Nothobranchius furzeri: one gene and its partner. The protein of the gene in region 1 purifies or fractionates together with the protein of each later gene. This does not show direct contact. Links are inferred from orthologs where the notes say so. Each region holds a gene or a part of one and is shown in the gene's direction. Other genes may lie near its edges. The genes, in order: ccdc117 and stip1.

Region 1 (3,927 bases):
ATAAATAACTGCTTACTTGAACTGCAAGGCCTGTACTGAACTCATTGCCAATGTGACCATCAGTTCTCTGGGACTCCAGAAGCTTCTGCTTGATCTTCTCAAGAGATGTGTCAAGCTCAGCTGGGTTGTGTGAATAAAATCCAGAGTCCTTCACACACTGGAGGGCCATTCCAGCCATGGCTTGAGTGTCTACAGACAGAGATAAGTGATTAAACACTCATCGGACGAGTCTTCTCAAAATAAAATGAAAAATCAAAGACCAGGAAAGTCATAAAAAATGTATGTTTATAGCTTCTCTTTAATTATCAGGATCAAAAGGCATCCTGGACGGCATGTTCCTACAACATATATTTCACCCAAAAACTATTTTAACAACATGAGTTGAGATTAACCCACCAACGCTCTCTTCTTCTCCATGTTTGAAATTATTGTGTTCAGCAGCTTTGATGAGCTTGTGGCTGACATGGTTGTTGACCCTGATGCCGCTCACGCAAAGAGCGAGCACACCCAGGCTGTACTGGTAATAGTTGGTCAAAGGGCGGTGGCTGACTGCAGGAAGAAAATAAATACAAAATGTCTAAAACAAAAAATAAGTTATTCCACAGATCGGGGATCTCGTGTTTCATGGTGATAATCGGGATTCAACACATTTTAATACATAAAAAGGTGAAATGAAATCTTACAGGCAATATGTTCTTTCTCCTGTTCCATCTGCTTCTTTAGGTTAGTCAGCAGCATCTCACTCTTGTCGCCTACAGTGAAGGTGATGGTGTTGAGGTCATAGCAGGACGACTTTAAGGCCAGACTGTACAGAGCCATGATGCCAGTCACAGGCTGGCTGTTTGTGAGTGAGCTGAAAGTCGGCACAAGTTCAGGCTGAGGTGAGACAATCAGTTTGATAGAAGGCTGCATTTTCTAATTCACAAAATGGAATGAAATACCTTTGAATGCTATTGTGCAATTCATTTTTCAGTCTATTAAGGTTATCTCGCTCCTTAGCAAGATTGTGGTGACTGGAAAGGCGAAGTGCCAAGTGGACACTGGGATTGGGAAGTCCTTCCTGTGTTGCCAGGGAGCGAAGGAGATTCTTGTTGAGTGACAGGAGCAGCTCTTGGTTGGATCCATCAGTATCTGGATAAAAGATGTATAAAAGGTAAGAATAAAAGTTATTTGATTAAAAGACGTTTCACAAACAACTCTCCTCTGTTGCTGACATCAGCAATGACTTCTAAAGCACTGCAAAACACCAATAGCTGAATCATCAAAATAAAAAAATATATAAAAAATTCAGACTAAATAACAAAATCTACATGAATGTGTTATAATTCCCAAGTTTTTCTTTCATATTTACTTTTTTAAGCATTTAAGATTAAAATATGACAAAGCGACTCATTCTAGGTGATGTGTGTCGCAAACCAACCAAAATACAAGGAATCAAGATCACATTGCAAAATCTGTGAAAGTTCTATTGCATCACAATTTCTGAGCTGTACAAACACACACACACACACACACACACACACACACACACACACACACACACACACACACACACACACACATTTATATAAATATATATATATATAAATATATGTGTATATATATATACATACATATATATATATATATATATATATATATATATATATATATATATATAAAACCTTTATTATCCCATGCATGAGAAGTCTAACTGTTACACAGCTCGTTTAGCAGAAGGAATATAGATGAAGACACAAGATCGTACACATAGCAGTCAAACAAAATGTGTAGGTCTAGAAATTGTATGTTTTACACACACACACACACACACACACACACACACACACACACACACACACACACACACACACATATATATATATATATATATATATATATATATATATATTTTTTTTTTTTTTTTTTTTTTTACTTACCACATGGTTTGGTGGAAACAAAAGCCAACAGGCCAATAATTATAACCAAAGGCAGCATTTTACGTCACCTAAAACGAAAAATAAGACGGATTAAAAACTATCTGGGCGATACATTTTCAACATTAATCACTACAGGCAGCTTGTTACCTTCTCAGTGTGCAGCGTGGAAAAATCTGAGTTGCTTGAGAAAATAAGGGGAAAAGGAAGAGGTATGTCGATGTCACATGACCCGTCATTTGAGATGACGAAACGAAATATCGGAGTCTCTTTAAGTACTAGTTGCGTCTCTCAACATAAACAGGAAGTAGTAAAAGAAAATTGTCGCAGGCTATTGGTCTGTTGAAAAGAAACTTGACAAAGCAACTAATCAGAGTTTGAGGAGGGCGGGTCTTAAGGGTCACGCTTTCTGCCTACCTTTAAATTTTTAATTCTCGCGTTATTCGACAACTTTACATTTAAATAAAGTAAAAATGATTGAAGGTACAACTCTGATAAAAATGTTTATACATAATTAAACTTCTTTGTGTTTCCAATAACGTTTACACCGATGGTTTACACCAAAGAGTCTTGTAGGGAGCATCCGCGTATTTAACTACTTCTCCCACAATCCACCTGTGCATCTGAACGTAGCACGCGCACGTTCTGGAAAGTTGACGAGCCTTCCATGATCTTTTATTTTTTTTATTTTTTTGCATTAAGTTGGTCCGGCCTACTTTCTAGTAGTTCACGCCACACATAAGGACCGAGTCGGTGCCTTTTCTGCTCCACTGTGTTTGTGTTTTAGTGAGTTTTTGGTGTACATGTTCCGGTTTTTGGCATTTTTAACGGGAGTGTGGAAAAGGAGGCCGTTGTGGAGGCAAGCTAGCTAAACATCGACATAAACAACAAACAGCAAAAGGGGGCAGGGCAGTTTAACAGGTCAGTCTTTGAACCCTTAGTGTTTTGCTTAACTTGTGCAATGGAACAAAGGGTAAATATGTTAATTTATGTTTTATCTTAGCGCTTATATCTAAAACATTGGACTTACACGGTGATTATTAGCTATATAAAAATGCCGATTGTCAGTGGGAGCCAGTATGCAACGTGTGCAGAAATGCGCATTTTCAGGTTTTAATTGCATGATTTCTTGTCTTACAGGTCAGTGTCGTTTACAGTTATTAGCCTGAGTGCCTCCCATCACACCAACGCCTGGATGCATCACCCTGCTCTCCCAAAGACTGCACTGGGGTTTCTGCCAACCATGTATTCATTTTCAGGTCCCTCCAGTCTGCCTGATTTTGACTTAGGGCATCCGAGTATGACTGAAAATCAACAGAGATCTGTCAACTCCCACAAGTATGGTGATGCTTTAAACCCTGCAAATTACACGAACATTCTTCCCATAAACGTCTAACTGTGTCAAATAATTATTATTATTTCTTCACTGTTTCACAGCAGCTGGGAGGCAAGGCGGCTCCGGAAGCACAGGAGAGTTGATGATGAGTAAGTAAGAAATCCATGTTAAAAACCATTTCACAGTGTCTGGGGTACTTATCCAATCCAATCCAATCCAATTTTATTTATAAAGCTCATTCAACAAGGCATTACAACCAAACAAGGCGCTGTACACTAAAAATGTTAGTTAATTAAACCGGCGTTATACAGTCATGTCGAACACAGATAAAAGATAAAAAGGAAATACAACAAAATTCACAAAACTAAACAGCTAAAAATCAATAAAACACAGGGAGAATAAAAAATTAGAAAAACATTTTAAAAAAGAACCTCAATAATACGGAAGTTGATATTGTGAATTCCATTTTTAAACAATGTAGTTGTGAGGTTCATAATTATGTGGTATAAGCTAGGTTGAAGTAGTGAGTTTTCAAGCGTGATTTAAAAATGCTAGCTGTTGGTGCTCACCTCACTAGCAGTGGTAATGTGTTCCACAGCTTGGGTGCACAGACAGAGAAAGCCCTTTCTCCACGGCTTTTTAAACGTGCATTCGGAACAGCTAGGAGGAGCTTAT
Region 2 (3,839 bases), on another chromosome or scaffold:
AATGCCTAGAAAGGGACACCTCTGGTAATTTGTAATGTAGTTGTTTATTTTATTTTGTGCATGTTTAATTTCAATTTGCCCTTTTTAATGGATCCCTTGTGTGTTTACATAGAAAATTCATAATAGTAAAGAAATAAAACAGTCCTTTGTTGATCTGTAGATCCTCCACCAGAGGGCAGTAGACATGTACAGGACAGATTTGTGATGAAGGCACTAATCTTATTCAGCTGAGGATATTTTAGAGCAGAACTAATGCTGTATCACAAGGCGCCTGGCCTAGCAAGCAGAGATCACTTTTTTCTTTTTTTTATTTCGCACAGGTCAAACAAAGCTGAATTCAAGAAAAAGAAAGAAAGAAAGAAAAGAACAAATTTAGTTTGTTAAAAAGAAATAGCAATAAAAATAAATCATAATAATACAAGGGCCTTACCATATAAGACTTTCCAACTTATATCAAAGTATCCCAAACTAAAATTGTTCGAAAAGGAATAGGAAGAAGCATAGCTTATTTCAATTATCCAGTTGCCTTGACATTGAAAAACACTTCATGACGTTACTAACTTTGATCATGTTTAAAGTGAAAATATATATATATATGTGTATGTTTCTCACAAAAAATACGATTAAGAGCATACTTTTTTCAGTGTGGACACAAAGAGGCTCACACATAAAGAAGTTAAATTAAAATAATTTCAAACTATTTTTCAGACTGTATAACTCAAGAGAATTCAAAACACATTTTGAGCAACTGCGCTCAGAATAAAGAGTCCCTCTTTCTTTGAGAAGTTTCAGTAAGTGAAATATAAATTGCTCGTCTGAAATCTCTCCCTAGGCGGTGCTTACTGATTTTCTAGTCCCTACTGGCAACTTCCACCAGCCGTTCAGGGGGAGGTGCTAGTTCGGACTCCGCAGTAGTTTCTGGAAGGAACCGCATGTGCATCATGGATAAAGTAAGTGACCTGCAAGTTTTTTTTATTCTTGTGTTTTTACCGACTGCTTTCAGCCAATGGAAGAAATGCTGAATTTATCTCCCGATAATAAAATAAAATAGAGTGTTACAGATTGGAAAAAATTGTCTGTACGCTTTTTAATGCAGTGACTTCACAGTGGTTCCTAGCTTGTTAGCTTAGCGTCATTTACACTGTAGCCGTTTGGCTAATAGGCTGAGAGCTTTACGACATTGTTAAACGCAAAACTAATTTTAAACGCTTAAGAATTTGCATCCCTTTACAAGCAGACTGAGTTTTGTCGTTGACGTATAAAAACACACGCACGGTTTAGCTAACTAGCGAGACAAATGACCACATTCATTGACGAGCTGTGAAGCTAACGTGCAACTTTATAAGTCCGTAAACACCGAGACGGTCTTTGCCCACTTTTGTTAATATAACTGTGTACTCAGAAACCAAAATATGGTTTTAACACGCTGTAAGTTATTCTGGTATAAGTGCTTCTAAGTAACGCGAGTTGACAAATCTGTGTACATCTTCCGGTTCTATTTCATGTATACTGTGTTTAAGAAGGTCTTATTATAAAGTCATCGTTATACCATTTTATTTGTATTAGAGTTTTAAATTGGACTAATGTGACATTTTATTTTAAAATATCTGACACGGTTAGTTTGGAATTGCTTTAGCGTCCACCCCAGCCTGAGCGAAGACCGGAGGATCTTTCTAGATGCTCACGGCGCCACTGTCTAGGCGACAGGCCGCAAAGTCGAATTCAAGTGTCGCGAACTGTCGAAGTTTTTTGTTTGTAGACTTCTGGGAATTTCCTCGTGTTTTCACAATTAAGATGACCTTAATTTTTCTTTAGTCATTTTTCTTTCTTGCATGAATCCGACAACACTTCATCCCCTAGGCACCTTCTTTTTATAAAGCAAAATAAAGCATTTTTCTCAACATGATGCAGCGGATGGACTTGGTTAAAGCAGTATAAACAGTCAAAGATTGACTAAAATCTTAGCAAGAGTTTAATTTTCCATAGAGAACCTTTGTGCAAGACTGCTTAAAAAATGCTGGTGAAGGTTCTCAGTCATCCGGGTCATGGTAATCCAAAGAATAAAGACAACTTTATTAGTTTTATTGTTTTTTTTTTTTTAAGTGGGTTGGCTTCTCATGTGAGGAGCTTTGTCAATTTTGTCTGGAATACACACAGTAGAGGCTAATGACATCAGGGGGTAGGGAGGAGGGGTATTCATAGGTAGTTTCTGCGCGTTATGGGCTCGACACACGGGAGGCGACAAACGACGGCGATCAGCGAAATTTGTCGCTGTCGCTTTTATTACCTGACACACGAGAGGCGATCCGCGGCCAGCGGCAAAGCCGTCTACACGTTCTGTTCCATGGCGAAATCGAAACTTCCGTTGTTTTGCTTGGCTGTGTCAGGTTGGAGGGAATTAAGGTTATTTAAGCGGTTCAGAGTTAATAAAGTGGTAGATATGTTTCACAAGGTGCTGCTAGAGTTATGTGAAATCTAACTTCTGATTTTACTATATAAAATAATAATAATAATCAACTTCTCCATGTTTGCTTGGAGGTGTACGGAGCATCCTGTCCGCTCATTGGTCAGTGAATGAAACCTCCGTTGATTGGTCCTCGTCCGAGCGACAGCGATGAAAAGTTGAAAATATTTCAACTTTCTGGGATTGCGTTGCTGGGTCGCAAGTGCACGAGCGCAAAATTTCACACGCACGTTTTTCGCGTTTCGCTTGGTAGGAGCGAGACCCGCGATTATCGCTTTGTCGCGCATGTCTCATTGAAAATGAATGGAGGAGAGGCGATGTCGCCTCCCGCGTGTCGAGCCCATAAGGCAACAATAGACAGCCACAGTTAATAAGCTTGACCCTCCCATATTCCAGTCAGAATTGGCAAAGCTCCTCAGACAAGAAGTGAAACCTCTTCAAGAAGTCAAAGAAGTCCAGTTGCCTTCATTCAAACCCATTTGGACTGCTTAAAAATGTAAATGAGGTCTATCTGTGTTTACACTTAAGTTAATATTAGGGCTGTAGCGAAGCCTCGACTACGTCGACGGCTCGATTCTAAAAATTTGTCGACGTCAGATCCGGAAGTCGACGCACCGCGCCCACTTGTTGCATCCCCAGGAGTTTGTAAATAGAGGAGGAATCTGCCTGTTTTTCCTCTAGTTCGCTCTCTTCTCCGCCTTCACTAACATCTCCGCCAAATACCGAAGACCCGGAACAACGTCCGTCCACTACTAGATTATTTTCCTGTTTTGCCCGCCTTCGTCTCCCGGCAACGGACAACAACTTCCGGGGTCAGATGCGCTGCTTCGTCTCTACCGCAGATGTAGAACATCACCGGGAGCGCTTCTCCCTTCATTAAGGAGCTTCTTTCAGACATTAGGAGAGCTGTTTTGGTGGTAGCAGTCTCTCCTCCGTGCTGGTCTGTTTGCTGCTGGGTGTTTTTGGTTTATTTAAACTTGGTAACTTGAACTTAGCGTTGGTAAAGCTACTGTTAGCATCTTCGCTAACAGCTTCTTGCGTTGGGATAAGCTGTTACGTTTTGGTTTAGAGTTCATCTTTTTTGTGGTGTAGATCTCCCTTTTATTACATTTAGAGTGTTGTGGGTTTTCGGTTTAGTGTAAAATATCACCTTGAGTTTGGTTTAACCCGTAACACCACTCGCCTCACGCACATAAGTGACCAAAACAAAGCAGCATGGAGACACTCCATCTTCTACCACCTCTCAGGCAGCAGCCTGCACTCCCAAGTTCTACATGTCACCAGAACATAACCAACCAACACAATAAAAGCAGCGTTATACAAAATGGAAGGCCTGTAGTGTTTCTTCTCTTACAGTAAGAATTTATCAATTTTT

Evidence for each region.
Region 2: the proteins of ccdc117 (region 1) and stip1 purify together in Homo sapiens (affinity purification with mass spectrometry; 5 studies listed by BioGRID and IntAct, counting the BioPlex papers as one, with this or other methods). This does not show direct contact. The link is inferred for Nothobranchius furzeri from reciprocal best matches to the Homo sapiens genes CCDC117 and STIP1.

The regions. Positions count from the first base shown.
Region 1 is NC_091757.1:46,238,384-46,242,310, reverse strand, and holds the start of ccdc117 (coiled-coil domain-containing protein 117), read left to right. Parts: upstream 1-1,131; 5' UTR 1,132-1,142; coding exon 1,143-1,153; intron 1,154-1,919; coding exon of another isoform or gene 1,920-1,977; exon of another isoform or gene 1,978-1,987; intron 1,988-2,066; exon of another isoform or gene 2,067-2,837; intron 2,838-3,056; coding exon 3,057-3,254; intron 3,255-3,353; coding exon 3,354-3,401; intron 3,402-3,927. Other genes in the region: tcn2 (transcobalamin-2), read right to left, coding at 17-189, 397-549, 684-853, 942-1,131, 1,920-1,977. UniProt on the Homo sapiens protein: Facilitates DNA repair, cell cycle progression, and cell proliferation through its interaction with CIAO2B.
Region 2 is NC_091750.1:53,225,921-53,229,759, forward strand, and holds the start of stip1 (stress-induced-phosphoprotein 1), read left to right. Parts: upstream 1-831; 5' UTR 832-932; coding exon 933-950; intron 951-3,839. UniProt on the Homo sapiens protein: Acts as a co-chaperone for HSP90AA1. Mediates the association of the molecular chaperones HSPA8/HSC70 and HSP90.